Linked DNA regions of Elephas maximus indicus. The protein of the gene in region 1 interacts with the protein of each later gene in a biochemical or structural test. Links are inferred from orthologs where the notes say so. Each region holds a gene or a part of one and is shown in the gene's direction. Other genes may lie near its edges.

Region 1 (11,026 bases):
AATAAAGAACAATGAGGAATCTGTGAAACATTTCATAACATGGAGGAACCTGGAAGGCATTATGCTGAGTGAAATCAGTCAGTTGTAAAAGGACAAATATTGTATAAGACCACCATTACAAGAATTTGAGAAATAGTTTAAAGCGAGAAAACATTCTTTTGTGGTTACGAGAGGGGGAGGGAGGAAGGGTGGGAGAGGGATAGTCACTAATTAGATAGTTGATAAGAACTACTTTAGGTGAAGGGAAAGACAGCACACAATACAGGGGAGGTCAGCACAATTGGACTAAACCAAAAGCAAAGAAGTTTCCTGAATAAACTGAATGCTTTGAAGGCCAGTGTAGCAGGGGCAGGGGTCTGGGGACCATGGTTTCAGGGGACATCTAAGTCTATCGGCATAATAAAATCTATTAAGAAAACATTCTGCATACCACTTTGAAGAGTGGCGTCTGGGGTCTTAAATGCTAGCAAGCAGCTATCTAAGATGCATCAATTGGTCTCAACCCACCTGGATCAAAGGAGAGTGAAGAACACCAAGGACACAAGGTGATTAAGAGCCCAAGAGACAGAAAGGGCCACATGAACCAGCGACTACATCATCCTGAGACCAGAACTAGATGATGCCCAGCTACAACTGAGGACTGCTCTGACAGGGAACACAACAGAGGACCCTTGAGGGAGCAGGAGAGCAGTGGGATGCAGACCCCAAATTCTCATAAAAAGACCTGACTTAATGATCTGACTGAGACTAGAAGGACCCCAGTGGTCATGGCCCCCAGATCTTCTGTTGCCCCAGGACCGAAGCCAACTCTTCAGACATGGATTGGACTGGACAATGGGTTGGAGAGGGATGCTGGTGAGGAGCGAGCTTCTCGGATCAGGCGGACACTTGAGACTATGTTGGCATCTCCTGCCTGGAGGGGACATTAGAGGGTGGAGGGGGTTAGAAGCTGGCAAAATGGACACAAAAAGACAGAGTGGAGGGAGAGAGCGAGCTGTCTCATTAGGGGGAGAGTAATTGGGAGTGTGTAGCAAGGTGTATATGGGTTTTTGTGTGAGAGACTGACTTGATTTGTAAACTTACACTTAAAAAAATTTTTTTTTTTTACTTAAAGCACAAGAAAAATTATTAAAAAAACATAAAAAAACAAACAAAGAAAAAAAGAACAGAAATTTATTTTCTCACAGTTTGGGAGTCTAGAAGTCCAAATTCAGAGCGTGACTCTAGGTTGGTGGTCTGAATCTATTCACAGGTGCCTTGGAAGAAAGGCCTTGTGATCTACTTCTGAAAGATCATGGCCACTGAAAACCTTATGGAACGCTGTTCCACTCTCAAACACATGAGGTTGCCCTGAGTTGGAATCAACTCAATGGCAACTGTTTTCTTTTTTTTTGGAATGTAGACACAATGCAGCTTTTTAGGGGAGATTTAAATAAAGTGAGGGTCCCCTGACAATTTGACTACATATCACTTCTCATGTTTGCACAGACCCTGTTGGGACTCCCTGTCCCCATTCTCAGAGGATGAGAGGACTTGCTGTGGCTCCTGGCCTAAGCTATGACCCTGGTCCCTAGAAAACACAAAGCAGGGGACAGGGGACATGGCACAACGTAGTGGCCAAAGTGATCCTGGGAGAGGGAGACAGAGGTGTGAAGATGAATTGCAGATGTGGCACTGGTGAAGGGTTATAGAGTAGGAGAAGCTGAGGACAAAAACGGGACTGGTTTCTGCAGGACACTCTCAGGCGCAGCTGGACATCATCACCTAGGGTAGTGTTCTTCAGACTTGTCTAGGTAGGACGTGTAATTACAAAAGTAAGAACTTCCATTTTCAGATCCTTCTCTGCAGATTCTAACTAAGTCTGGAGCAAACTCTGTGGAATCTGTATGTGTCTGTTTAACAAGCGATGCCACACCAGATGAAATACAGCAGCTGTCTAAGTAAGAGATAAATAAGGGGCTGCCAGAATTATGCATAGCACACAACCCAATACAGAGTTTGTGGAATGTCTGAATGAATGGAGGTATAACAATTTTACAGCTGAACACCCGCAGGAAGAATAGAAAAAGTATTTTTGACAAAGTTTTGGTAAATAAAAATAAAGAAATATTTTAATTTGAGTGCATTAAGCCCACCCTAAGTAGCAGCTGTCCAGGTTTTAGAGAGTTAAATTGAAGACTTGACTGGTAAGTACAGTACTTTCCAACCACCAACTATAAAGCGGAATGGATAAGAGGCATGTGCCCTGCTGCCATCTTGTGGCGGAATTGTGTAGTTAACATAGAAGGACTGGAAATCTGAAAACTTTGGTCCTTTAATTAAGACAAATACTTGCTCAGTAATTTGGAACAATCACTTGAAACTTCTGAGTCTGTTTTATCACTTTTAAAAAAGCATTACTGTTATACTTATTATAGTTACTCAAATTATAATGTTGCTGAGATGATCAATAAGAGCTTTTAAACAAAAGTATTCTAAATCCTAAGTATTCTGTTAGCATTGCTAATGCTGTTCTCTGTTTATGAGTATGAGAAAACCTCACTTCTTTGGGGTTACTCCTTTTTCTCTTAAGATAATGAACAGGTGGTGGTTTGTCAGAATGGGGAATGCAGTCAGTGAGAAAGGTCTCCTGCTTCCTCCTCTCCCCACTCCATTTGTCCCAATTCTCTAGGATCAGGCCAGGTTACTGTGAATGTATCAAATGACTGGGTGGGGGTTTCAGAGAAGATAGTTCTCTCTAGTAGCTGGAGAATATGGTTACCTACATGGCAAGAGCTAAAGGGTCCTAAAAAGGTTTTTTTTCCCCCTCTCCGTATATCTTCTTAGCACCCTTAAGTGTGGGTTGAAGTTAGGGATGACCTGAGTTGACTAGCTCCATTTCCCTGAGATTCTCTTGGTTCTGCCTTCCTCTGTGGGTTGACTCCGTTCTCAAACTGGTGGCAAAGGGGCTGCAACAGTTTCAGGCCTCACACAAAAAACTCAGAGAAAAGAAGATAGTTTTAGTCCTAATATTCCTAGAGATTCACCCTGACTAGACAACCCTTTACTGAGCCTAGGAGCATGGCTTGGAGAAAGGGATTTACTACTTATTTTAAGACAATCCTTGGAGATGGGGGTGGAGTCAGATTCCCCCAAGACATACAGAATCAAGATGACTAAATAGCGAATAAAATCCTAGTTCTGTTAAGGGTGGAATAGACACTGGGTTGTTATTGTGTGCCATCGATTCCAACTCATAGCCATCCTATGTGACAGAGTAGAACTGCCCCATAGGATTTTTTTCTTGGCTGTAATCTTTACAGAAGCAGATAGACAAGTCTTTCTCCCAAGGAGCTGCTGAGTGGGTTCAAACTGCCAACCTTTAGGTTAGCAGCCAAGCACTTAACCACTGTGTCACCAGGGCTCCTTGGATACTATATAGGCAACTGTTATGGACTGAACGTGTCTTCCCAAAACATGTGTTATAATTCCTAACTCCTGGGTGGTACAAATGGTTAAGCGCTGGACTACTAGCCTAAAAGTCGAGTTTGAACTTCTCAGAGGTGCCTCAGAAGACAGATGATCTGCTTCTGAAAAGTCACAGCCTTGAAAACCTAACAGAGCAGTTCTCTTCTGCACACATGGGTTGCCAAGAGCTGGAATGGACTCCACAGACAGATACGTATGGATGTAATCTCATTTAGGAATGAATCGGGGTTTCTTTGTTACATTAATGAGACCATGTCAGTGTAGGTTGTCTCAAACCTACTCACTTTTGATATATAAAATGAGTAGATTAAGCACAGAGAAATAAGCACAAACTGACAGTCAAGGCATCAGAGAATGCCGGGTCTACAGAAACTGAATGAGATCTTACCCCAAAGACGATAGACAGCGAGGCTTCCCTTAGAACCAGTGCCCTGAATTTGGACTCTAGTCTTCTAACCTGTGAGAAAACACATTTCTGTTCTTCAAAACTACTCACTTGTGGTGTTTCTGTTACAGCAGCACTAAGAAACTAAGACAGCAACCAACAATGCTCAATGATTGTTTATCGTTATACAGTGCACGGTGAGAGCATTCAAACGAAACTCACCCTTAGTGTCAGAATTGATAAGTAGGTGGCGCAGCAGTTAAAGAACTTGGCTGCTAACCAAAAGGTCCTACAGGGTCCCTATGAGCCGGCACTGACTCAACAGCAATGGGTTTGGTTTTTTTTTTCTGGAGTGAGGATTATGGCAAACCAGAGAAATATGCTCCATTAATAAAACAGATGCCACTATTCAGCTGTAGGCAATGTTGCCAGGCAAGACTATAAGCCCAGTGTTGCTAGATCTTCAAAAATTTCAAAATAAATTGATAATCTGGATTTTTATGTAAAATGTCCACATTTGAAATGTTAACAAGTCAGTTTTGTGTGTGTGTTTTAAACCACCCAGGGTGGCCAACAGTGTCCAAACCAAACAAACCTTATTATCTGTTGGCCAAAAACAGCCTGTGAAGCTCTGGTTTACAAGCTCAAGGCTAGTAGAGGCACTGCAGTAAAATTCTGCCATTCAGTGGTTGTAAATGTAAGTCTTGCCAAGAGTAGATTAGTTAAAGCAGGAGATCAGAGAACCGGTGTCACTGTCATATACAACGCTTTTCAGCAGGTTGGTTCCCAAACATGGGTTCTCAGGCCTCTGTTAAACCCAATGAAATGTGAAGTCCATTTGGAGCCAGTTACTTCTTTCCAGGCCAGGCATGGTGTTCTAGTACCAGGCACCAGAAACACGTTTTTTTCCCATTGTTCACCTTATTTCATCCACAGGTCAAGACCCAGTAGGTACAGGGAAGTCTTCACACTACCAGAAATCCAGTGTAAATTTGGTTTGATCTTTTTTTCAATAATGCCCAAATTTCTTTGAGCCCTCATCTGATATAATTAGGCAGTTTTTCTTAATTCTGCGAAGCACAGAGCTTTAGTGATAGGGTTAGATTGATTACCTTCTCTATCATTAAAGAATAAAACATTTAATTGAACAGAAAACAGCTGTTTGTCACTGACAAAAATCAATGCTAATTAGCTTAAAATAGATTAGTGTTTAGATCAGAGACTGCCTCTTGATTTGCGATTCTTTTTCCTGGTCAATTTCTTGTTTCAATATGGCACAAGAGAATTAGACATATTAGAATCACAGGGGAGAGGGGGTAGGGTTTGTTGAAGATGCTTTTTAAAAGAGTGTCAATATCCAGACCCTACCCTAAAACCCACTGGGGTCCAGTCCATTATGACTCATAGTGACCCTACAGGACAGAGCAGAATCGCCACATGCTGTTCCCAAGGAGCAGCTGGTGGACTGGATGGTGGGTTCCAACCGCCCACCTTTTGGTTAGCAGCTGTAGTTCTTAACCATGATGCCACCAGGGTTTCCGGCCCCACCCTAGAGGAACCAAGAAATCAGTTCGTTCAGTCAATTCCGACTCATAGCGACCCTATAGGACAGAATAGAACAGCCCCCTAGGGTTTCCAAGGAGCAGCTGGTGGATTCCAACTATCAATCTTGGGTTAGCAGCCAAGAGCTTAACCACCGCGCCACCAGGGCGCCGAAGCTCCCCAAATGATTCTATTATGTAGACAAGGCCGGATATTGTTCCCTGTAAGAAAAATCTAAAAGCGTGGAAACCCTTCAAATCCCTTGTATTTTCTCCAGAACTCTTTTTCAGCACCAAGGAGTTCCGCGAAACATTTCCCAGAGGTGTCTGAGGCTTAGTTCTTGCCAACCCGGAGATTGACGGGACCGTCAGCCAATCAGGCGTGTGAACGACTCTCTCTAGAACCAAGAACAGGCAAAAGAATCAGGCACTTTCACTCAGCAGAAAAATCCAAGATCGCAGTATTAAAGGCCAACAAACCTACAAAAGTCAGGGACGCTCCCTCCAGCTTCGGCGAGTCCCAGATACACCGAGAGTTCTCACCGTAGAGAGAGCCTCCCCCGCCCGCCTCAAGCCTGGCTAATAACGCCGCGCTTATCCTGGCCGCTCGGCGCCCCCGCGTGGCGTCACTTCCGCCCGGGCCGGGTTGAAGCGATTTCCTCTTTCCTTTCCCTTCTTTCTCTAGCCCCGCCCCCCGGAAGCTCCGCTCGGTCACCGCCCGCGGGTCAGGGGTGAGAGGTGGGAGGGCGCCGCGGGCCTCGGTGAGTAACTGCCGCGAGTTCTGCTCCCGGGCGGCGCGAGTTGAAGGAACCAGGTTAGATGACGGCTGAGGGCGCGACGGGACTGTGCGGGCCCTCGGGAATCTCCAGCCTCTGCGGTTTCGGGGCTCCTCTTCCCCAGGCTTGCAATTGGCAGCGCCGGTGGCAGGGTTCCTGGCCCCTCTCGAGTTGGATTGCGGCTCTAGTCGCTGCTCCTCTGTTTCCTCTCCACCTCAGGTCTATAGGCTCTGTGATGGCAGGGCGGCTGCTTAACGTAACCAAAGTGCTTTAGTATCCATTCCGCCTCCTTTGACCTCCGAAACCCTGCGGGTAAGGTAGGGCAGATGAAATTGTTATTCGCCTTCATTGAACTGAAGCTCTTGGAGAACTCACTCTTTGAAGGCAACAAGGCTCCCTGAGAGGTAGAATTGGGATTCGCTCCTGGGGATTCTAGCTTCCCTAGGTTTGCACAGAGTCGTGGGGAGAGAATTTGGAAGTAGGAGAGAAACTGCACACATAAAAAGGAGAGCTAGCATTTCTGAGTGCTTACTTCATGTCTGGCAGGGTGTTGAGTTCTTTCTGTAATTATATCACTCAATCCTTGTCATAAGCATAGGAAGAAACAAACCCAAACCCAGTGCTGTCGAGTCGATTCCGACTCATAGCGACCCTATAGGAAGTATATGCCGTTATTTTTAGTTTAGGAAACTGAGGCTCAGAGATGATAAATGACTTGTCCAGTATTAGTGACTTGCTAGACATCTCCCAGATCTCTTCAGCTCTTTGGTTCTTCCAACATCATACAGTTAATTTCCATCCTAAACAAACTGTACCTTTCTGATTTTGACATCTCGGGAAGTCAAAGGAAGTAAGGGATAACTTCCTGAAATTTTTTCTTGGTCTGTTCATCCTTTGCCTATTGTTTTACTTATCAGCAGTCTATTTAGAAATCTGTGGTCATATAATTCAGCCCTGACTCTTACTCCACAATTTACTTCTTTCCCAAGAGGAAATTAAAGATTGTGTTCCTTGGTCTGAAATCAACGGTTGTAGGTTAAAAGGCTGCCTGGAAAAATTGCTAATTTTTGCATCATAGGTGGTCTCTTTTTGGACGTTTTTAATTGCCTCTCTGCATATCTTACCACAGTTTCTGCTTTTTTTTTTTCCCCTCCAGGAAAGCAGCCGTCATCTTGTGCCAGGATGTCAGGAACTGGGAATAAAAGAGCAGCCGGAGAGCCTGGCACATCTGCGCCTCCAGAGAAGAAGACAGCTGTTGAGGATTCAGGGACCACCGTGGAAACAATTAAGCTAGGAGGTGTCTCTTCAACGGTATGTGGTGAAAATCCTAACTGTACTTTTCTAGTCAGTTGTGATCTGAAACTGAGAATTTATGGAAGAATACAGTGCCAGGTATAAGAGGAAGTAGAACACAGTTGTTAAGAGTGTGGTGAAGGGTGAGGGTCTGAAGCCAGACTGCCAGGGGTTAACTCTCAGCTCTCCCGCTTTTAAGCTGTGTGACCTTTTATTATCTTTCCTGTGCATCTGTATCCTTGTCTGTAAAATGTAATTACGATACCTACGTCACTAGGTTGTTGTGAGGATAAAATGAGAGTCCATGTAAAGGCTTACAGCATTGCCTTTGACAAAGTAAGTACTCCGTAAATGTGAACTATTAATAGTTATTATTGGGCTAAATAATATGAATATAATGGTAAGTGAAATAGCTATTATTTTTGCCCTTATGGACCTGACAATTTCATTAGATGGTTTTATTTTGCAAGCTCATTGTAATTTTATATATCCATTAGATGTCAGAAGCTAATGTTTTTGATATCAATCAGAGTTCTGTGTTTTGGGGCTCAGCCATGGGGATATGGTGTTAAGACACTTCAGGTTTGTATAGCTTACAAAACCACATCTATTTTCTGTTTGATTGTGAGGCTGAGGCTTAGAGAAGCTGATTTTGTTTTCAGAGTCAGGAAGAATACTAGGAACATTCGGAGCAAATTGTCACTGAAGTGCCATTTCTGAGGCCATCTGTGGATCAGCTACACCAAACTGCTGCCAGGGAGTGATTTTTGTCTTAGCATTGCCTCACGTCATGCACCCAAAGAACATTTATTCACTTGATGAATATAAATATTTATGGAGTATCTATTATTTGCCAGGCACTGTGCTTTACACTGAGGACAGCCCTGAACTTCAGTTTGTCAGGTGGTGCTATTATAATATAAGGGGATGCACTGTTAAGATGAGTTGGATATGTGCTGTGGGGCAGTTCTACTGTGTCCTACAGGGTTGCTATGAGTCAGGATCGACTCGACAGCAACGAGTTTGGTTTTGGTTTTGATGTGCTGTTTATTGTGGTAAGCAAGGCTCTAGGGAATCACGTAGCACCCAGGTTGGACGTCATCCAGAAGGCATTGAAGAGCCACTGAAAGATATTACGTGGGGAAGTGACATGCTCTGAGTTAGGTTTGGAGAATACATGTAGAGGAGGAAGGGTTATGAGCAGGAGTCCAGTTAGCAGGATGGTCCCCTTTTTGCCCTTCCCCTTGTTGCCCCACCTCTTCAAGGGTAGGAAGCTGGGGCATGATCCACTGATTCTGCCCTCATTGTTTGAAGGTTGCCCTTGGAGGCAGTAACTCATCTCCTTCAGGGTTCTGTGGTGAACCAGCTGAGATTGTAGGACTGAAAAACTGAGAGACTCCAACGTGTGGTTGAAGTGGTAACACTGGCAGTGTGAGTGGAGCTGTCCGCCACACATGTGCTGAAATCTGGTGGGCCGACAGGTCATATCATGAGGCACAAAAGTGTCTGCTACAGGAGGGTATTGTAGTGACCTTGATGATTGACTTGAACCCCATGTGGAGGTAGTGTTGACAGGATTTGCTGATGAATTGGACAAAGCATGTGAGGGAAAGGAGGCAAGATCACCTGAGGATTTTCAAGTAACAATTTCCAGTAAATGAGCTAGGGACCATATGAGAAGGGGAGATTTTAGGAAGATACGGAGGGTGAATCATGAGTTTGGTTTTGGGAATGTAAGTTTGAGATAGCTGTTAGACTTCTGAGTGGATAGCAGTTGGATATAGTAATCTGGAGTCTGGAAAGAAGTCTGGAAGTCATTATTTCATAGGTGATATTTAGATGCAAGAGACCAAGGTTTTTCCCTACAGAATGAGCATAGATAGAAAGAGGCTTGAGGACAGAGCTGTAGGGCTCTGCAACATTTTTACATCAAATAGATGAGAAGACACAGTAAAAGAGGGGCCAGTGAGGTAGGAGGAGAACAAGAGAGAGTGTGGTCCCGGAAGCCAAATGGAGAAAGTGTTTCAAGGAGTTGATCAGGTGCTGCTGATGGATGGAGTAAGGTGAGGACTAACACGATCATTAAATTTGGCAACGGAGAGTTCACCGGAGACGTAACAAGAACTGTACTGGTAGAGTGGTGAGGGTGGAAACCTCATTGCAATCAATGTAGGACAACATGAGAGGAGAGGAATTGGGGAAAAGAGTAGTACTGCTGTAAAGTAGAGCAAAGAAATGGGGCAGTAGCCAGACAGGAATGTGGGGCTGAGGGAAGATTTTTTGTTGATTTTTTAAGGTAGGAGATACTACAGCCTGTTCATCTGTTGATTGTAATGATTTGGTAGAAAGGATAAACTTGATGATGTGGCAGAAAGAGGAGACAGTTACTGGTGTGATATCCTTGAATGGGAGAGAGGGAATGTAATGTAATGTTCAAGTTCTTATCAGGCAGGAGTGAGGAAGGAGGGATATGGGTTCATACATAGGCTGGTAGCTGTGGCTGTGGAAGGTAGGTGTGGACGCTGTCTTCTGATTGCTTTTATTTTTTTTTCAGTGAAATCAGAATCAAGACTCGTCTGAGAGTGAGGATGAGGGAGGAAGTTTTGGAGGTTTGAAGAGACAGGAGAAGGTATGAAGTAGTCATCTTGAAGAGAGAATGGGCTAGAGAGATGTAGTAGGACTGCTGGGCAGCTCTGAGGGCCCACTTGAGGTTTGTGATCATGAGTTTAAAGTGAGACTAATCAGCACGGTGCTTTATTTGTTCCAGTTGCCGCCGTGCACATTTAGCTGCATGGTTGTCATCTTGGCATAGTTGGAGAGTTGGGTGTTACCAGAGTTGGAGGTTCTTATCAGAGAGATGTGATGAAGGAGCAAGGAAAGAGGTGGAGATATATAAAAGGGGTGATTATAATGACTCATCATGGAGTTTAAGATTGGTAAAGAAGGAAGTGAGAGGAATGAAGGTGAGACCAATGGATCGTCGAGCATGGTGGAATTGGGGAATTGTTGGAGTCTGGAAACTAAAGAGAAGTGATCGGGAAAAATAAGTGGTAGTTGTGGAGAATGGGGAACATGAAATTGTGTTGATAGAGAATGTGCAGGTACTGGTGAGAAGAAGAATACCTGGGAGTTGGTGAGTGAGGGAGGTAGAGGATAAGCTCCTTGGAGGAGAGGAGGTCAACAAATTGATAATCCTAGATGTTGGAAGGATCACTTTTGTGGGAATCGAAATTAGTAAGAATATAACAGGAGTAGTATTGGAGAAAGTAATATAAGCTAGGACGTGACCTACACATTTGTAGATGACTGAAACAAGGCAGGTGGCAGGTGGTACAGACCAGTGGCATGCATAGCAAAGCTAAAAGGTTTTAGGGAGGAGGGTGGCCTGTAAGTGCCAGTGGAGAACAAGGAGAACAACCAGTTGCTTTGAGGCACAGGGGCTCAGGGGGTGTGGGAGAGAACACCCACCACTTTAGAGGGTTTCAGGGTTCAGTTAAAGCAAGAAGGGAGGAAGGTGGTATTCAGAGAAAAGTTTGAGGATATAGTTTATCAATAGCCTTAAT
Region 2 (10,393 bases), on another chromosome or scaffold:
CTTTAATTTGACAGTGTTAATTTTTATCATTTTCAATTTTTCATTCAGTTTTATAAAAAATATTAACAATGGCAAAAATAAACTTAAAGAATTGTCCAAACACTGCTAGGGAGCCAAAAATGGCAATGAATGCTCCATAAACTAAAGCGCTGACAGATAATTTAACCCCCAAAATGCTTTTTCATAGTGTATGAATTGTTCTAATTGACCATGTATGATAGAAGTGTGGATAATACAGAAATTTAGAGTTACTTGTAATGCATTACTCCAAACTTTATTTTTATTTTTTGTATATACACAGTGCTCTTGTGGCTGACAATTTAAATGTCCTATTACCTCCCTCCCCAGGCAAAGCTCCAGGTTTTTCTTCTGTTTTCCCTGAGGATATGTAGAAGGTGACTTTGTGGCTGAAATCCATGCCAGAGTTGAACAGGTCCAGTGCCAGACAGGATTACATCATTAGAGGATTTCAGAAGGGAGCAGGGATTTAGGGCACAGTGACAACAACAGCATTGAGAGGTAACATTTCTTGAGCACTTACAAGGTGCCAAACACTAGTGCTGAACACTCTACATTTATTTTCATACACTTTCTCGTCACAGCACTTTGAAACAGGTGCCGTTAACAAAGAACCAAACCCCTTTCTGTTGAGTTGATTCTGACTGACAGCGACCCTATAGGATAGAGTAGAACTGCCGCACAGTGTTTCCAAGGGGTGCAAGGCTCTAGGGAAGGCGACTGCCACATCTTTCTCCCCATGAGCTGCGAACCACTGACCTTTCTGTTTGCAGGCAATCACTTTAATTACTGCACCACCAGGGCTACTACTCCCATTTTAGAGATGAAGAAACTGAGGCTTGGTGATGGTAAGAAAAGTGCTCAAAGATGTAGAAAATAAGTTTCTGATCCTTGAGCCAGTGTGATTATCCACTATAAATACATGTTAGCACTGTTCTTTAGAAATATAAGGGGAGCCACGATATAATTTAAAAAATTTTAGTAGCTACATTTAAAAAAAACTAAAAAAGCAAAACAAAACTCATTTTAATCCACTTTAGTTGTAATATTATAAGTTTAGCTTGTTATCAATATGAAAATATTAATGAGTTTTTTTTTTAATTCTATATCTTTAAGATCTGGTCTGTATTTTATTCTTAAAGCACATCTTAATTTGGACTAGCAACATTTCAAGTGCTTAACAGCCACACATGTCTAGTGTCTTGGAGAAACCAGCTCAATAGTAAATAAATATACTTGTTCTGGAGCAGAATCTAGAAGTTTCTAGGGAAACAATTATTCTGACCTTGTTCTGAAGCCCTTGGAGCCCTGGTGGTGCAGTGGTTAAGCATTTGGCTGCTAACCAAAAGAAAGGCAGTTCGAATCCATCAACCGCTGCTTGGAAATCCTATGGGGCGGTTCTACTTTGTCCTATAGTGTCACTGTGAGTTGAAATCAACTTGAGGGCAATGGATTTGGTTTGGTTGTTTTTTTCCTGAAGCTCAGGGAGCGTCCCTAAGACCACTCTACCCATTTCACTTCACATCTGTTCTCTGGCCACACAACCGGATTTCGCCTAGGCTACGCCACCAGGCAAATGGTTTGCCCTCCGCTATTAATCTAAAGGTTGGCAGGTGGAACTCACTCATAGAAGAAAAGGCCCGGTGATCTGCTTCTTTTAAGACTACAGCCGAGAAAACCCTACGGAGCTGCTCTACTCTGCAGCACATTAGGTAACTATGAGTTCAGATCACGGGATGGTAACTAACAACTAGGTCATCACAGCCCCTTCCCATCTACCCTGATGCAGCCCTATGGGGTGTACTCCCACTTCTGAAATCGAGTTAGCCTTTAAGAGGAAACTCTAGATCTGATAAATCCCATGTTTGGGTAATCTTATTGATTAGAAGATATTAAGAGTGTGAGTGTGGCGTGAGATTGCCTGGGATTAAATCCTAGCGATGATATTTGCTAGTGGGATGACTGGCCAATTAACCAAAATATCTCAGGCTAAAGTTCCAGCTCTATAAAATGGATACACTGAGAGAATTTGCCATACAGTGTGTAGTAAGGATTATACATAATAATTCAGGCTTCGGATGGTACTTGACCCATGGAAAACTATCAAGGTTAGAGCTACTACACAGACTTCTCTAATGAATTCATCTCTATTATCTCACTTTTATGGTGACCTTTATAAAGGAAGGTCATTTTCAGGACAGAACGAGCCTATAAAACCCTGCAAAATTGTTATCCCAGGCAACTCATTTTAGCACTGAAGAGTTCAGGTTGCTTAGAGGTGACCTTATATCCTCCTCACTAATCTTTCTCCTCCTGATATCTCTGAGAATGGTACCACCAGCCATACCCAGTACCCAGAGCCTTCGAGTCGATTCCGACTCATAGCAATTCTATAGCCATAGCATCATGCAAAGCAGCGATACATCTGAGGGGTCTGGGAGTATCCCAGGCCAAAACAAAACAAAGCAAAACAAAAACAAACCCTTTGCCATCAAGTCGATTCTGACTCATAGTGACCCTACAGGACAGAGAAGAACTGGCCCCATAGGGTTTTCAAGGACCGGCTGGTGTATTCAAACTGCCGACCTTTTGGTTAAGCAGCCAAGCTGTTGACTACTGCACCATCAGGGTTCCAAAAATGCTCATAGTCAGCAGGAACCAAACCTGCACAGAGAAACCCCAATGGATTTCTAGCCCATCACCTTAACCACTAAGCCCCGACTACGCAGACACTCCAGACCAGAGATACTCAATTAATTCCTAGGGTGCTCACATCGAAGTGTATTGGACCAGACTGGCAGGGGGCAGAGAAACCCCATGTATAATTTTGAAAAGCATAGCCAGTTCTCATGAGTCAGAATTGACTCCATGGCACTGGGTTGGGGAGGGGTAATGGAAGCATCAGGCTCAGCAATTTTTTTTTTTTTCCCAAGGCCCTGGGAAAGGCCTTAACAGTGCGTTTACTTGGTCTTAATAGTTTTTGGGTTGTTTTTAATTTCGCAATAATAAGGTATTTTACTTACAGTTGTTTATGATGGTTGCTGATTTCCACTCAGTCTTCCCTTCCATTACAATTCACCTTGTGTCTGATTATATTGGAACGTTGGTGAGTGTATTTGGGATTTGTGTAAGAGAAAATTTAGTTGGAGATACGTTTAGTTTGGGGTTAATGAGGTAAGTGATTTATAGGCGTGCTCCTATATAGCTCAGTTTTTGTTAACTAAACTGATGAAAGAATGGCTTCAAAGAAAACTACTATTTGCTGGGATACCTGGAATGCTCACAAGAAGATGCAGGGCAAGATGTCACAGCAAGACATCCACATACCCGTTGCGCCCCCCACTGGGAGTAAGTGCTTAGTGCACAGGAGAATTAAGATTTAAAATATACTGACCCTGTAGCTAATCTGTGAAGAGTTCTCCCGATTTTTTTCATTCACATAGGAAAGAAGCTTGATACAGGATTTCCTAAATTGGAAAAAAATCCTGAAAATTACTGGACACCCAATAATGTTTTAAAACTGAAACTTCTAAATTGTCAATAACAGAAAAGAAGCTGTGATCAAACATGCTAGGAAATATCTTCCCATTGTCCATGTAGAAAATACAAATTAATTTTGAAGACATAATCTGAGTATACAGACAAAAATACAGAAAAACACTGCGGTGTATTCATAAAATATCCTCTTTCTGAATATTGTGGATACGAACTTTTTATAAATTGGAATGTGAACTTTCCATCCTAAGGGAACACTAGATTTTACAAACTTTAAAAGCCCTAGGGTGTCCCCGCCAATCTACTTCAGCGAGACAGAAGCTCTGCAGTTTAATACCTCGTCAGCCATCAAACCTTAACAGATAGTGGCCTCTTTTAAAAAGAAACGGTTGTCTTTGACTCAGCTGAATTAAGCTTTCAGTGGGCATTTACATACATACAGGTGGCTAGTAAGCAAAATAGGTAAATTAAGAGTACAACCACTTTTAAGTGAAAGTGTGGGTGGCTCTGAAAAGAGCCTTTTTTAAGTCAAAGGGAAAAGTGGCAATTTACGCCCTCTCCCCGCGGATGCGGCGGGCCAGCTGGATGTCCTTGGGCATGATGGTGACGCGCTTGGCGTGGATGGCGCACAGGTTGGTGTCCTCAAACAGCCCCACCAGGTAGGCCTCGCACGCCTCCTGCAGCGCCATGACGGCCGAGCTCTGGAAGCGCAGGTCGGTCTTGAAGTCCTGCGCGATCTCGCGCACCAGCCGCTGGAAAGGCAGCTTGCGGATCAGCAGCTCGGTGGACTTCTGGTAGCGCCTGATCTCGCGCAGCGCCACGGTGCCGGGCCGGTAGCGGTGAGGCTTCTTCACGCCGCCGGTGGCCGGGGCGCTCTTGCGGGCAGCTTTGGTGGCCAGCTGCTTGCGGGGTGCCTTGCCGCCGGTGGACTTGCGGGCTGTCTGCTTGGTACGAGCCATCACGGAGAGACTGAAGACAAACAAAAAGTCTAGCAAACTGGTGGTAAAATTGCCTTTAAATATAGTTTGAAGCGACCTGATTGGCTTTATGAAGTTTCAAAAGTTCCGCGCGATAAAACCATTGGCTGATGGCTGACTGGTGATTGGTTAATAACTAGAGACTGTGATTGGATGAACTATTCCACTTCATCATCCGGGATTCCTTTTGTTAATCTCAGATATTTGTAGGGGATTAATTTTCTAAAGTTCTAGTTCTGCCCGTCTCCATGTACTGTGTGCATGAGGAACCCTTTAGGGATCTTGTTAAAATGTAAATTCTGATTCCATATATCTGAATGGGACATGAGATCATGAATCCTTAACATGCTTGCAGGTTATGTCAATACTGGTGGTCCCCACATATTAAGTACAGTTTTATCGTCTGCACTTAACCGTCTGTTTTCTTTTCCAGTTAAATTATCGCGAGTCGCCTGGACTGACACAAGCCCTGGTCATTGTAGCTCCCCTAATCCTGAGTTTGTGAAACCTTTGTGATCTACATGTCAATGTACCTGGGTGGAATATCTGGCGAAGCAGTTAAAGCGACGGTTTCAGATTTGGCGGGTACACACAGAATAGCAACAAATTGTCACTGGTTAATGTTGGACAAGATTATTTTTCTAGATTCAGAATTTGAGGAACTAACACTGCTTTATTATTGGTTAAGGACGTGGTGAATTTCCTTACTTCGTTTTTCGAGCCCCAACATTTCTCGGCCCCGCCTGTTTTGTAAAACACCTTATTTTGCTTGTTAGGTTTCTTTTTATACAAAATATTCTGAACGACCTACTTTCCTGGTGCTCTTTAAACTAATGTATCTTATTAGTTACGACACAGGCTTTTCTTATGTTACTTTTAAACACTACGTAGTTTAGGAATATACAAACACAGAGTTATCAGCTTCTCTCTTGAAAGTGTGGATGGCTCTGAAAAGAGCCTTTTGTCTAGTTGAGAACAAGGAAGTGTTTTTACTGCTTATTTGTGGGCTTCACTTGCCCTTAGCCTTATGGTGACTCTCGGTTTTCTTGGGCAGCAGCACGGCCTGGATGTTGGGCAGGACGCCACCCTGCGCGATGGTGACTTTGCCCAGCAGCTTGTTGAGCTCCTCGTCGTTGCGGATGGCCAGTTGCAAGTGGCGCGGGATAATACGTGTCTTCTTGTTGTCGCGGGCCGCGTTGCCCGCCAGCTCCAGGATCTCGGCCGTCAGGTACTCCAGCACCGCCGCCAGGTACACCGGTGCGCCGGCTCCGACTCGCTCGGAGTAGTTTCCCTTACGGAGCAAGCGGTGCACTCTGCCCACCGGGAACTGCAAACCGGCGCGGGAGGACCGAGTTTTGGCTTTGGCGCGAGCCTTACCACCCTGCTTTCCCCGTCCAGACATCGCCCTTTACACTAAAACCAACACGCAAATTGAAAGTGTTTTAAGCTGGAAAAACGCACTTATAGGCAATGCAGGGCTATGAATGTACCCTGCCTGATTGGTTAAAATAGACAGCCTTGTTTTGTCCAATAGGAAAAGAAAGTGTGTATTGCTTATTTGCATAAACACCGTACTTGGCAAAGTGTACTACTATCCAATCAGAGGTGAGAGTTCGTAAACCCTCATTTGAATTACGCAACTATAAAGAGAGGGCTCCAGGATTTTTCCTAACTTCGGTGGTGAAGAGGTTGTTAAGCGGTTCAGTTCCAGTTCTGAACAGTTATGCCTGAGCCATCTAAGTCTGCACCAGCTCCTAAAAAGGGGTCTAAGAAAGCTATAACTAAGGCGCAGAAAAAGGATGGTAAAAAGCGCAAGCGCAGCCGCAAGGAAAGTTACTCTATCTACGTTTATAAGGTGTTGAAGCAGGTCCATCCTGACACCGGGATCTCATCCAAGGCGATGGGTATTATGAACTCCTTCGTCAACGACATCTTCGAACGCATTGCTGGGGAAGCTTCTCGCCTGGCGCATTACAACAAGCGCTCGACCATCACGTCCAGGGAGATCCAGACGGCCGTGCGCCTGCTGCTGCCCGGGGAGCTGGCCAAGCACGCGGTGTCCGAGGGCACCAAGGCCGTCACCAAGTACACCAGCTCTAAATAGACGGGCCTGCGTAGGTTTTTCTTAATTCAAAGGCTCTTTTCAGAGCCACCTACTTTCTCGGAAGAGAGCTGTAATTGCGATCATTGTGCATAAGAGAGAAAAGCTGAGGTACTTAAAGACCAAGTTAAACTGACAAATTTTTTCTGCTGCTCTAGCTCCCTCCGAAAAAGCTGTTTTAACTTTATTAAACTCGTATTTTCAGTGTTTGATGCAATCCTTGGGATTTTTATTTATCTATACTCGAGAACGCTCTTTCTCTCCTGCGTCCCAGCTCTTTCCTGCGTCCCAGCACTTTCCTAGTGGTGACTGGAAGGTCCCTGGAGAATAACGGAGTGGTTAAGACGTTTCCGTGCGTAGTTACCCCTGAGGGCGTGGTTAGCCAGGCTCTTGCCCCAAGAGTGAGGAGGAGGAGGATGTCGGGTCGTTTTCGCCCGAAACATGAACTCAAGATGTCAGACGTGGCTGCCTGCATTGGGGCACAGGCAAGGGAGATCTCCGGTTGTTTTTCTGGGAAATTCTGGAGCGTCTACTCGACCTCTTTGCCATTGCACAGCCGTTTAAAAAAATTTTTTTTAATCGAATGCAAGAAATCCGGACCTCATTTCATGTATCACTTACCGTTAGGGGCTTGTCACCAGAATAGGGCGGGATAATGGCTAGAGCTCCGGGAGGACAAAGGGTTTGAATTTCCCTCTATTTCCCATCTGGCGCCACCTTGTGTCTGACTGGGAAGATCTCAGTTGGAGGGGCCCACTGCCGGTTTTTCTTGTAGGCTCTTTAGCAAGAATCTAGAACCTCAAAAGTACCGATTTTGAGTGCAGGGTACGGGGAAGGTAGGAAGACAGGGAAAAAAGACAGCTGCCAATTAAAAGGAAAAGTATGTTCAGTCTGTTTACCAGTCTCTTATGTAGATGACATACAGCAGTGTCTTTGGAGAACAAAGCAAAATTTAAAGAATTTCTCAAACAGGATCTTTTAAAGGAAAGTAAAAATCACCTTCTCCAGGATCCCAGGGAAGATGTCAGCCTCAGTATGAGAAGCACTTCCTATCCCAGTGTATGCAAGATATTATGAGACATTTGTCTTGAAAATGAATAATGCTTGTTTTTTTTTACATTATAACAATGGTTGCCCGCCCCCCAAAACAAGAAGTAGTGAACTCAGGCTGCAGTTTAAGGATCACTGTCCTGTAGGTTCCTCCCTTGGAAGGCTGACACGTAGGTAGTAATATTGTATCTTAACATCTGTTGAGGAAATATAATTTAAAAAATCTGCAAACTCAGAAAAGATCACAAAGTTGGAAGAGAAAGAACACAATTTTATTATTGAATAAGCATTAAGCCAGGAGGGGATGCATCACAGGGAATCTGCTTTAGATATTGCAAAGACAAAGAAATCTCACCCCTCTATGTGGCTAAGTGGATGCAACCTGTCTTAGTTATCTAGTGCTGCTAAAACAGAAATACCTTAAGTGGTTGGCTTTAGCAAAGAGAAATTTATTCTCTGACGGTTTAGGAGGCTAGAAGTCTAAATTCAGGCCACCAGGTCTAGGGGAAGGTGCTCTATTTCTGTCGCCTCTGGGGGAAGGTCCTTGTCATCAATCTTCCCATGGTCTAGGAATTTCTCAGCACGAGTACCCCAGGATCCAAAGAAAGCACTCTGCTCCCTATGCTTTTTTCATGGTGGCATGAGGTCCCACTCCTCTCTGCTCAATTCTCTCTTTTATACCTCAAAAGAGATTGACTCAAGATACAACCTAATCCTAAAGATTTAGTTCTGTCTTGTTAATATAACTGCTTCTAATCCTGCCTCGTTAATATCATAGACGTTAAGATTTACAACACATAGGATAATCATATGAGATCACAAAATGGTGGACAATTGCGCAGTACTGGGAATCATGGCCTAACCAAATTGATACACATTTTGGGGGACACAGTTCATTCCATAACACAACCCATTACATACATGTTCTCAAGATAATCAATTAATAATGTCTCATATCTTTACGGTTGGAGGTAGGTTTGTAGTTTGGAGCTAAGTCTGCAGGCATGCTCATCTCCTCCCAGAAAAATGGGAGATGGGAGCACTATCTTTCTTGACATTTACATTTCAAAGAAATGGCCCACAGGTCCCTTTGGAAATATTCCTGAGTTCTGAAATTGGCAAGAAGCTTATTTAATATTTGATTTTCCACATTTTCAAAATAATCTCTTGAGGTAGGGATTATTTTCTCTCCAATTTGTCCTTCATAAGTTTTGCCTGCTTGCTTTCTTTTGTTCTTTTATTTGTTTCTCTCTTTCTCCTTTCAAATAAGAAACTGAGAATGTTTTATCTAAAACTTGTAACCAAAAAGATCAGCAGTTAGAATCTACCAGGAGATCCTTGGAAACCCTATAGAGCAGTTCTACCCTGTCCTGTAGGATCACTATGAGCTGGAATCAACTTGAGGGCAATGGGTTTTTTGGTGTTATACCCTTAGTTGAAATGCTGGTGGCGTAGTGGTTAAGTGCTACGGCAGCTAACTAAAGGGTCAGCAGTTCAAATCCACCAGGCGCTCCTTGGAAACTCTATGGGGGCAGTTCTACTCCATCCTATAGGGTCGCTATGAGTCGGAATCGACTCGACGGCACTGGGGTTTGGGGACCCTTAGTTGACAAGCCCAAATTACATTCCAGGCTTAAACTCAAAACTAGGCCTTTCTGCCATCGCTGTTTTATCTGGCTGATCTTTACAAGTGAATTAAGAAAAAAAAAAAAAAAATCACGTACCTGGGCTGGCTGGTAGGCCTTGGGTCTATGAGGGGAGATGTGAGAAGCCAGAAATTTTCATATTTACAAATGTCAGTTGATTCTGATGAGGTTCCAACTTTCGATACAGCAAGGACAGTGGACAAGTCCATCAGCTTGAGGGAAGTACTAAAAAGGTTTATGTACCCTTTTCCTAGTTAACTAACACCCACATTTTCTCCAGAGCTACAGTCTCAAGGTGTTGAAGCAGGGTCCACAATAGCCAGCAAAAGACCACATACATGGTCTGTCAGTGCATAGGAAAAGTTTTACTCACACAGAGAAGAGACAGAGCATGAGTGGCTTCACTAGTGGGCACCAGCCTCCCATGGCCAGCACGTTCATCCCACATATGGCCACTGCAGGGCAAATGTTCTATGTTCACCTCTCTTGTACCATAGTACATAGTATGAGAGAGCTCAGTTCCATCCCTGCTGTGAACAAATATAGAAGTGGGGTTGACCAGGTGCTTTATGTTGATTGTGCATATAAGAGAGACAGAGAACATTACTGTGTGTCCAGGACAGGGGCAAGACTTCTCTGATAAGGAGAAGGAACTGGGAGAGAAAAGGCGATCCAATTTTCAGCTTGTCAGAGGAATGTTCTGGTCCCAAAGCCTTTACTTAGGCAGCCTGGATGGGTGGTGTAGAGGAAGACCATTCCTCTACCACAGGGTTAAAATAAAAGAGACAGAGAGAGAAATAACCTACACTGCATGCCCAATTTTTTCGGTCATAGTAAGTTTTGACTACCACCCTATCCAATAAAGAGAATCTGAAGAAAGGAGGAGCTGAACTGATGGAGGGAGGGAAAAGAGGAGATACCCTTGGCTGAGCTGTGGGCGCTCAGAACCAGATGGAGGGGACTTGGGAAAATTTTGATTTGGAGGTAGGGTGACAGAATTAAGAAAGGAGAAGAAAGGCTCAAAAAGAGACAGATGACAGGAGGTTCGGAGACACCTTATGATTTGAGAAAAAAGGGGTGACAGTCAGGAGATAAGGACAGCCCTG
Region 3 (10,355 bases), on another chromosome or scaffold:
AGGCCCAAAGTCAGTTAACTGGGGAAAAGACAGTCTGTTTAACAAATGGTGCTGGCATAACTGGATATCCATCTGCAAAAAAAAAAATGAAACAAGACCCATACCTCATTCCATGTACAAAAACTAGCTCAAAATGGATCAAAGACCTAAATATAAAATCTAAAACTATAAAGATCATGGAGGAAAAAATAGGGACAATGCTAGGAGCCCTAATACATGGCATGAACAGTATACAGAACTTTATTAACAGTGCAGAAGAAAAACTAGATAACTGGGACCTCCTAAAAATCAAACACCTATGGTCATCCAAAGACTTCACCAAAAGAGTAAAAGGACTACCTACAGTCTGGGAAAAAGTTTTTAGCTATGACATTTCCGATCAGCGCCTGATCCCTAAAATCTACATGATACTGCAAAAACTCAACTACAAAAAGATAAATAACCCAATTAAAAAATGGGCAAAAGATATGAAGAGACACTTCACTAAAGAGATGCAGGTAGCTAACAGATACATGAGGAAATGTTCACGATCATTAGCCATTAGAGAAATGCAGATCAAAAGTACAATGAGATTTCATCTCACTCCAACAAGATTGACATTAATCCAAAAAACACAAAATAATCAATGTCGGAGAGGTTGTGGAGAGACTGCAACACTTATACACTGCTGGTGGGAATGTAAAATGGTACAACCACTTTGGAAATAGATTTGGCACTCTCTTAAAAAGCTATAATAGAACTACCATACGATCCAGCAATCCCATTCCTCGGAATATATCCTAGAGAAATAAGAGCCTTTACACAAACAGATATATGGACACCCATGTTTATTGCAGTACTGTTTACAATAGCAAAAAGATAGGAGCAACCAAGGTGCCCACCAACGGATGTATGGATAAATTATGGTTTATTCACACAATGGAATACTATGCATCGATAAAGAACAGTGAGGAATCTGTGAAACATTTTATAACATGGAGGAACCTGGAAGGCATTATGCTGAGTGAAATTAGTCAGTTGCAAAAGGACAAATATTGTATAAGACCACTATTATAAGAACTTGAGAAACAGTTTAAACTGAGAAAAAAACATTCTTTTGTGGTTATTGAGGGGGGAGGGAGGGAGGGTGGGAGAGGGATATTCACTAATTAGATAGTAGATAAGAACTACTTTAGGTAGTTCTTATCTACTATCTAATTAGTGAATATCCCTCTCCCACCCTCTTTAGGGAAAGACAACACAGAATACAGGGGAAGTCAGCACAACTGGAATAAACCAAAAGCAAAGAAGTTTCCTGAATAAACTGAATGCTTCATAGGCCAGAGTAGCAGGGGCAGGGGTTTGGGGAGCATGGTTTCAGGGGACATCTAAGTCAGTTGGCTTAATAATACCTACTAAGAAAACATTCTGCGTTCCACTTTGAAGAGTGGCGTCTGGGGTCTTAACACTAGCAAGTGGCCATCTAAGATACATCAATGGGTCTCAACCTACCTGGATCAAAGGAGAATGAAGAACACCAAGGACACAAGGTAATTACGAGCCCAAGGGACAGAAAAGGCCACATGAACCAGCGACTGCATCATCCTGAGACCAGAAGAACTAGATGGTGCCCAGCTACAACCAATGACTGACCTGACAGAGAACCCCTGAGGGAGGAACATTGCAGTGGGATGCAGACCCCAAATTCTCATAAAAAGACCAGAGTTAATGGTCTGACTGAGACTAGAAGGACCCTGGTGGTCATGGCCCCCAGGCCTTCTGTTGGCCCAGGACAGGAACCATTCCCAAAGCCAACTCTTCAGACAGGGATTGGATTGGACAGTGGGTTGGAGAGGGATGCTGGTGAGGCATGAGCTTCTTGGATCAGGTGGACACTTGAGACTATGTTGGCTTCTCCTGCCTGGAGGGGAGATAAGAGAGTAGAGTTGGTTAGAAGCTGGCGAAATGGACAGGAAAAGAGAGAGCAGAGGGAGGGAGCGGGCTGTCTCATCAGGGGGAGAGTAATTGGGAGTATGCAGCAAGGCGTATATAAGTTTTTATGTGAGAGACAGACTGGATTTGTAAACTTTCACTTAAAGCACAATATAAATTATTAAAAAACTTATTTAAAAAATCCAAAATTAAATAAAATGGGCAACAAGATGAACTTTTAAAAAATGGATGTACCATTTAGAAGTGTCCTTTAGGATAAACACTGCCTGGGACTGTTTCTCCCCATAGCTTAGTCCAGCTTGCTGCTCTTGCTCCAGCAGTGCAATTCAATTTCAGCATAGACATTTGCTTATCATGTAAAAATCAGATAACTTCGCTGCCTCCTGCGTAAGATTTACATATTACCGTTTTTTACTCTAATGTCTCCTGTCTTCAGTTTGTTACAAAAGTGCTGAAAGTTGCACTAAGACTCTTTTTTTTTTTTTTTACCCCTTTTGCGTTATTTTAGACTGACTTGTTTTCTTAATTGCTGACAGCTTAAGTGGGCATTAAATAGGTTTTCACTGGTCCTTATAAACTGGTACAATCTTTACATTTAGCAAGTGGATGTGGTAAATAACCTTTGCTGTTGAATGGATTCCGACTCATAGCTACCTTATAAGGTTGGGAATTATCCCCATAGGGTTTCCAAGGAGAACTTGCCACACCTTTCTCCTGTGGAGGGTTCAGCCACCAACCTTAGCAGCCTAGCACTTAACCGGTGTGCTATGAGAGCACCTTGTGGTAAATAAGACTAATTTTTTTCAACTGGTTGTGATTTCAGGGGCCCTTTTCCCCTCCATAATTCCACCTTTTAACTAGGCTTAGGAATAACAACCTGTCAGATACACATGCCTAAACAAATCATTTATTTTTTGATATTGTTTTTTGGAGAGGTTTCCTTTCTTTTGATTTCCTACTTTGCCTTTTTTTCCCCTAATGATGCCTAGTTTATACATTTACTTTATTACAATGTTTTTCATTAAACTAATGCCATATAATCAACTTCCTTAGAAAAAATTTAGAACAGAAAAATTTAGAAAAGAAAAAAAAACACTACCACCAAAGTAAAATTTAATTTTTTGAAATACCTAATGTCCCCTCCCACCATATGCCAATGTTGCTATTGTGCCTGGGTTGTTAAGTGTGGACAAGTTGGTTCCAACTCATAGTGACCCTATGTAAAACAGAATGAAACAATGCCTGGTCCCATATCATCCTTACAATCACTGCTGTTTCAGCCCATTTTTTCAATCCATCTCGTTGAGGGTCTTCCTCTTTTTCCCTCTCTATTTTCCCAAGCGTGATGTCCTTCTACAGGGAATGGTCCCTCCTAACAACATGTCCAAAGTACATGAGACAAAGTCTTGCCCATCCTCACTTCTAAGGAACATTCTAGCCATACTTCTTCCAAGACAGATTGGTTAGTTGTTCTGGCAGTTCATGGTATATTCAATATTCTTTGCCAACACCATAATTCAAAGGTATCAATTCTTCTCTGGCTTTGTCTAGCTTTTGTAGGCATATGAGGCCATTGAACACACCATGACTTGGGTTAGGCACATCTTAGTCTTCAAAGTAACATCTTTACTTTTAAATACTTTAAAGAGGTCTTTTGCAGCAGATTTGCTCAATGCAATACATCTTTTGATTTCTTGACTGCTGCCTCCATGGCTGTTGATTGTGGATCCAAGTAAAATGTAATCCTTGACAACTTCAATATTTTCCCCGTTTATCCTGTTTCTTATTGGTCGAGTTGTGAGGATTTTTGTCTCCTTTTTGGCGAAATGCAATCCATACTGAAGGCTGCAGTCTTTGATCTTCCTGGACTGCAGCAGCCCACAAAATTAAATTTGTAGCAATTTAATTTCGCATACCCTAATATCTGACATAAAGTAGCCCTGTGGTTAAGAGGGAAACCCTGGTGGCATAGTGGTTAAGTGCTATGGCTGCTAACCAAGAGGTTGGCAGTTCAAATCCACCAGGCACTCCTCGGAAACTCTATGGGGCAGTTCTACTCTGTCCTATAGGGTTGCTATAAGTCAATACACTTGACAGCAGTGGGTTTTGGTTTGGGTGGTTAAGAGCTCAGGCTGCTAAGAAAAAGGTGGACAGTTCCAATCCACCAGCTGCTCCTCGGAAACCCTATGGGGCGGTTCTACTCTGCCTACAGGGTGGCTATGAGTCAGAGTGGACTCCAAAGCAACTTTATTTTTAAATGCCGACATAAAGGGGCCCTGGTGGCACAGCGGTTAAGCATTTGGTTGCTAATCAAAAAGCCCACCAGGCGCTCTGAGGGAGAAAGATGGGGCAGTCCGCTTTCTTAAAGATTTACAGCCTTGGAATATCTATGGGGCAGTTCTAGTCTGTGCTAGAGGGCCGGCTATCAGTCGGACTCGACAGCAACAGGCCTGTTAATACTTCACATGCAAAGCCTCACATCTAGAGCCTCCAAATGAATTTTACTTCACCAATATTTCAGCGAGGAACTCGAAGAGCGAAAAAATGGCAAATAAGGAGAGGGTGGGGCGTGCACGGTGAATTCCCCATGCTGAGAAAGGAAAATATCGAAAGAGGATGCGACAGCTGAACGCTTTTCCCAAGTAGCCCATCCTTATAAATCTCCAGCCTAATCCGATTTCTTAATTTACTGCCCTGAGCGGCGCTCCCTCCTCAATTCAGGAATCCTAGGAACACAGCTTTCTCGCATTCGGTACAAATCCCCTAACGCCTCTGTATTCGGCAGTTCTCGTTAAGAGAGCGTGACTTACTTCTAAAACGCCGCCGGGCGCGCGCGGAGAAGCCCCTGCCCGGCTGACGGCCGGTAGCGTGCTCAGCGTCTCATCTGGGCCAGGTGCGCAGGCCCAGGATCTGGCCCCCACAGGGAAGCCCTGACGGAGCCGGGTCAGGCGCCCCGCTTTCCCGAGGGCAGGATCCGCGAACTACAACCAGAGAGCTACTCGGTAACTGCTCGCCTGTCGCCTAACTAGGGGCTTGTAGACGACCCGGCGATCAGAGCCCGCAGGGGAGGGGGCGGGCGGCCCGAGAGCTCGCCGGAGGGCACCCACCACCCCCTCGCTTCTGGGCGCACGCGCAACCGCCTTCCTTTAGTCCGCGATGGCTTCCTTCGCGCCCCACCGTCCTCCTCCCGAAGGCGGCCCCTGCGTACCCCAGAGCCACTGGGACCGGCCTCGAGCAAGTCCCTGAGCGGGGCTAGCCCTGAACAGGAATAGGGGTGGCCGGACGCGCGCGTGAGGAAAAGAAGCGGCAACCGGAAAGAGCTGACGGGCCGTGAAGAGGCGAAGCAGGCCTCAGAGGAAGAGGAAGGCCGGCACAAGCCGAGGTTTGCCGAAGGCGCCGTTCTGGAGCTGCGCTGGGCGGGGAGGAAGACCGAGGGTGGGAGAGGACGGGCGCGGCGGAAACTGCCGATGTTTTCCGAAGGCGGCAGCATCCGAGTTGCCCGGATGTAGTTGGTGGAGCGGTATCGGCGGCACCAGCGGCGGTGGCGGCGGCGGGAGGAGGAGAGGCGAAGGACCAGGCAGCGGCGGCGGCGGGGGGAGGAGGGGAGGAGGCGGCGGAGCAGGAGGAGGAGAAGGCGGGGAAGGCATTCGCTTTCCGCGGCGCTGAGCCAGACGCGTCTTCTTGCCCCCCTCCCCCCGGTTCGCCGCTGCCGCCGTGTAGTTGGCGCCGTTGCCCCGGCCAAGAGTGAGTGTGGTGTCGGCGGAGGGAGATGGCCCGGGAGCGCCGGCGCCAGTAACGGGGAGGTGCTGAGACTCGCCGAGGGCGCGCCGGGCCGTGGTGCCGGTACTGCCGCCCGCCCGCCCGCCCGCCTCTCGCGGCCGCTCTCCCCCCTCCCCGACACACACTCACAGGCCGGGCATTGATGGTAATGTATGCGAGGAAACAGCAGAGACTCAGTGATGGGTAAATTGTCTTTTCTTCTTTTCGGGCCGGGCCGCAGCGGGGGGCGGCGGCGGCGGCGGAGGGGGGGCTGTTCCTCCTTATCTGGTGCTGGCCAGGCCGCCATTTTTGTTGTTAACCCTGATCCGGATCGGGCTGGGGAGGAGGAGCAGCCGCGGGAGCAGCGAGGAGGGAGTGTGCGTGGAGGGGAGCCGAGGGCCGGGGTTGCAGCGTTTCGCCGTCCTGGTGTGAGTGTGTGTGTGCGTGTTGCTCGCGGGGTACACTTGTTAGGTCTGCCGCGGGAGGGGTGGAGGGGGGACCCGTTTTTTCTTCCTCCTCCCGCGATGTCTCATGTCGCTGTGTCTCTTCCTGTTTTTCAGCTGTCACGACCGGAGGGGGGACTCGCAGCCTTACCAGGTACCAGCCGTGGCCGGGGTGGAAGGGTGGGAGGGGGCCGGAGGGGGAGGGGAGAGGCTGCTACTCGAGCGCAGGCTTCTGAAGTCGCTACAGGCCCTTCAGTGCACCAAACCCGAAACTAGCACCGCGGGCCCTCCAAAAATTTTGTGTTTAGTTATATTAGCGCTCTCCAGCAAGGTTTACTGACTTATTTTGACAGGTGACTGGAGGAAGTACAAGTTTTTAGGAAAAAAAAAAAAATCATCTGCAACCGGGAAGACCTGGCTCGATTATTTGGGTGTAAAGGAATTGATGTGAAGAGGAGTTAGGTGATTTTTGAAGTATTTGTATTTATTGTACTGAGGAACTAAAAGTTAATGGGAAGGTGTTAAAATTAGATGAAAGGCCTGGAAAGAGATAGCTAATTGCCTTTCAGCTCTTAAGTTGTTTGTAAACAACTCTCTCTGCCCATTCTAATTTTGTTGCAAATAATTGCTTAACTGGTGAAAGGTACTGCTTTTTTATTACTGTAAGATTTGTGATCTTTGGATGCTTGAATATTTCATTCTAATGTGGATGGCTCTTGCTAAGTAGTTTCTTTTTTGTTATGTTACTGCAGGTGTTACATAAGTAAAGTTTTTAAAAATTATGATAGAATTGCCCAAGGTTTGGGGCAGAAATCTGATGCATGGCTGACAACTATCATAACTCTAGAACTTCTGTAAATAACTTTGAGTCTGATCACTTAAGGGATAAGAGAATAGTTTTCTAAGCTGAAAGTTCTGTTACTGGCAAACAGGAGTTGTTAAAGCTCAAGTTAGAAACGCTAGGTCCCCTGATGTGTAAACATTGTCCATAACATTTTGATATGACAAAGATTAAACCCTATTGAGTCTGGCCCTCTATATATTAAATATTGCAAACACCTCATATATCAATGCTTTAAATGTGTTCAAGTGAAATTAAGCCATTATTGTGGGGAAGTTTTATTATACTTTTTTTTACAAATATTGCTCATGTATCAGTTTTATTTTGGCCAGTATTTTTATCCCTTTGAAATTGTTTTCCAAGCCTGCAGAAATAGGTAAGTTAGGCCTGAAACACTTCATCTGAGAACTATTACCCCCCTTTAAAAAAAATTTTTTTTTTGTAGATTTGTACATGTCTAAACATACCAGTTGCAGAGCAGAAATTGAATACAGTAGTATTTAGGTTCTAGTTTTCCTTGGATTAAGGTTTCAAAAAAATTTGAAATATTAATTCCCAGGAAAATGTATATGGAATCAGTGTGCTGAGGTGTTTGATATAATGGAGTGGATTTTTCCCCGTTATGATATTTATTAGGAGCTTTGTAATAACAAGCATTTGTGGCTTGTGTTAATAATTTAAGAGCATAACTGATAATGGAAAATTTAATTTTGCCTATGTAAATTTTTAAAACTTAATGATGTCAATTAAACAAAATAGTAAAGTTTAAAGTTTCAATTCTTTCTTTTTTGGGGGGGGTGTGATGTTTTACAGGCACTTAAATACTCATCGAAGAGTCACCCCAGTAGTGGTGATCACAGACATGAAAAGATGCGAGACGCCACAGATCCTTCACCACCAAATAAAATGTTGCGGAGATCTGATAGTCCTGAAAACAAATTTAGTGACAGCACAGGTCACGCTAAGGCCAAAAACGTGCATGCTCACAGAGTTAGAGAGAGGGATGGTGGTGAGTAGCTTTCCTGTTGAAACTGTCACATATTTATCTTATAACAATGGCTGTATAGGCCTATAGGCGGTAGTAGTATTTCAAGTTTGAGGACATTGTCATGAGGTTATGTCATTAAAGTATTTCAATTTTATTAACCTATTATGATTCATTAACAGGTTATTGTAGAAATAAGATGCTGACTTGAGTATCTAAAAACTGGATTCTTAGTGGCTGATAATAAGAGGGTGTATTTATGAATATATAGTTTACCAAATGCTTTATTAATAATGGGAGAAATACAAAACATTTTCCCAGGAAAGTAAGTTACTTTTAAGTAAAGATTTCAGTTTATTTGGCTTAGTTTATTTTGAGACCCTTGTTGCTGCTTGAAGTTGTTTTAAAGAGTTCAAGTCTGTTTCCTAATTATAATAAGTTAGAAAATTTAAAATTTAGTATGTTTTCAAAACAGCTCATGGATTAAAAAGCCCATTTGTGATTCAGAAAATATCTTCTGAGTTTTTGTTGTAAACATTTTAAATTTTATTTTCTAGGGTCCTGTTAATTTAACTTTTACACAGCTTTCAATTCAACTTTTTAAAGGTTAGGTTAGCCTTATTTCTTTTGCATGCTGCTAACACTCTTCAGTTATTACTATGCCTCAAGTTCTTTGTGGTAGGAGACAGAATAAGTAAATAAATCCAACTCTAGGTAACTATTTTCAGACTTAAGTTGCCCCAAATTTACCAAAGTAATCAGGTTTCATGTCTAAGAAAGACATTAAAGAACAAACCATTTTTCACTAAGATAATCAAGACAGTTCTCTTCCGCCACAGTTAGATCTTACATTGCTTAATAGATAGAATGCTTGAGATAAATGTACAGATTGTGCTTTTATAAACTTCCAGGGAAACTCAACAGTACCATATGGCTTTCTTTCTTCCTTGTTAGCAACTAGTTTTCAGTACTTTGTTTTTTAATGTCCTGCACCTTCTGGTCCTCTTTAGTGTAGAAATCAGCCTTACTCAATGTAATCAGGTAATGAGAAACATTTGATCACCTATGTACTACATAATTACTAGGTTGGGGAAATTAGTAATGGTCATAGATTGCATTGGGAAGGAATAATTTGGATGATTATTGGATGGGAGGAAAATAAAGTTCATTTCTTCTCTGTTGAATATTGCTGTAACTTTGTACTACTTAAGCAGGTAAACCATATTTTTCAGTAGTACTACTGGGTGGGGCTTGATTATTAAAAACATTTGAAGTTCTTTGGCAAAATTAAACTATTAACATTTTCATTTTGGGGGGTGAATTTTCCACGGCGCTATGTATAGACCAAGATGGTACTATTATCGAACTTTTCTATAGTGGGTTACGTACCAAATGTAAACTCTTGGAGGGTGGGTACTGCTTATGTGGTAGAAAGCTTTATTTTTTATAGTTTTGGTGATTGTAAAAAAAAAAAACAGGATGTGGCACCTCATCTCCTTGTAGATAGGCTCTTACGTTCCATTTATTTCCAAAGCCAGGGAAGAAGTCCGTTGATGCACACAATGAAACTTGTGTAAATGCTTCCATACATTTTCCAGGGAACCATACCCGATAAATTCTTTCACAGGTGAAGTAAGCCCAAGAGCATCCTGTTGGCTTATTCATTCAGCAAACATTGGGCATCGACTGTGTGCCACCAGCTGTGCGGTGCTCCTGGAAGTACCGATAGGATGTGGTCCTGGTCTTGAGGCTGGCCGTCAAGGCATTGACTCTTGAGAGTTAGTCATATTTTAGCTGCTTGTCCTTTCTGAACCCCTTTTCACTTTGATTTTAATTTTCCTTCCTGGGAGAACTCTAGGTATATCTTGTTGGTTTTTAGGTTCCTTTTTATTTGTATCTGCTTCCATTGTTTACTCAGTTGATGTTCTTTTAGCCTCATGTATAAGAAACTTGTTGCATGATTTTCTGATCGTTTTCTAGGTTAGGCTCCACTCTCTACTTTCTAAGATACTTTATATATAAGTCTGTCAGCTCTTTTGCCTGTCTTCCTGAGTTCCTTTTTTAATTAACGTAACTCTGTACGTGTGTGTATCTTTAATAAGCCTGGTTGCCATATTCCTTTTAACTATAAGAGAATGAGTAATAATCAATACCATAAAAAAATGGTATCCATTCTGGATTTCAGAGTACATCTTTGATGTTCCCTAGTTTCTTAGAGCTGTAAAATAAGGATTCTTCCCTCATTTTTGCATTCTAAGGGAATTATCCTCTTTGAGAAAAAGGGTATGTGATACTTACTTAGCCATCATAGTTTGACTTCAGGCATATACTTTTTTCTTTTATCGCCAATATACTTTTTAAAGTCTGTGTATGATTTTATTTGCGGTATTATGAA

Evidence for each region. The genes of interacting proteins can lie anywhere in the genome.
Region 2: of the proteins of RNF20 (region 1) and histone H2B type 1-B, one has a biochemical effect on the other in vitro, tested with the Homo sapiens proteins (2 studies listed by BioGRID, with this or other methods). The link is inferred for Elephas maximus indicus from reciprocal best matches to the Homo sapiens genes RNF20 and H2BC3.
Region 3: the proteins of RNF20 (region 1) and WAC form a complex in vitro, tested with the Homo sapiens proteins (2 studies listed by BioGRID). The link is inferred for Elephas maximus indicus from reciprocal best matches to the Homo sapiens genes RNF20 and WAC.

What each region holds. Positions count from the first base shown.
Region 1 is NC_064827.1:51,276,491-51,287,516, forward strand, and holds the start of RNF20 (E3 ubiquitin-protein ligase BRE1A), read left to right. Parts: upstream 1-6,090; 5' UTR 6,091-6,155; exon of another isoform or gene 6,156-6,208; intron 6,209-7,326; 5' UTR 7,327-7,352; coding exon 7,353-7,481; intron 7,482-10,017; exon of another isoform or gene 10,018-10,092; intron 10,093-11,026. UniProt on the Homo sapiens protein: Component of the RNF20/40 E3 ubiquitin-protein ligase complex that mediates monoubiquitination of 'Lys-120' of histone H2B (H2BK120ub1).
Region 2 is NC_064819.1:73,170,101-73,180,493, reverse strand, and holds histone H2B type 1-B, read left to right. Parts: upstream 1-6,174; 5' UTR 6,175-6,213; coding exon 6,214-6,594; 3' UTR 6,595-8,024; downstream 8,025-10,393. Other genes in the region: histone H3.1, read right to left, coding at 4,062-4,472; histone H2A type 1-D, read right to left, coding at 5,500-5,892. UniProt on the Homo sapiens protein: Core component of nucleosome. Nucleosomes wrap and compact DNA into chromatin, limiting DNA accessibility to the cellular machineries which require DNA as a template.
Region 3 is NC_064822.1:26,711,018-26,721,372, reverse strand, and holds the start of WAC (WW domain-containing adapter protein with coiled-coil), read left to right. Parts: upstream 1-5,801; 5' UTR 5,802-5,841; coding exon of another isoform or gene 5,842-5,852; 5' UTR 5,853-5,854; coding exon 5,855-5,895; intron 5,896-6,251; coding exon 6,252-6,288; intron 6,289-7,788; coding exon 7,789-7,984; intron 7,985-10,355. Other genes in the region: uncharacterized protein LOC126074836, read right to left, coding at 1,799-1,900, 4,743-4,913, 5,141-5,801, 5,842-5,852.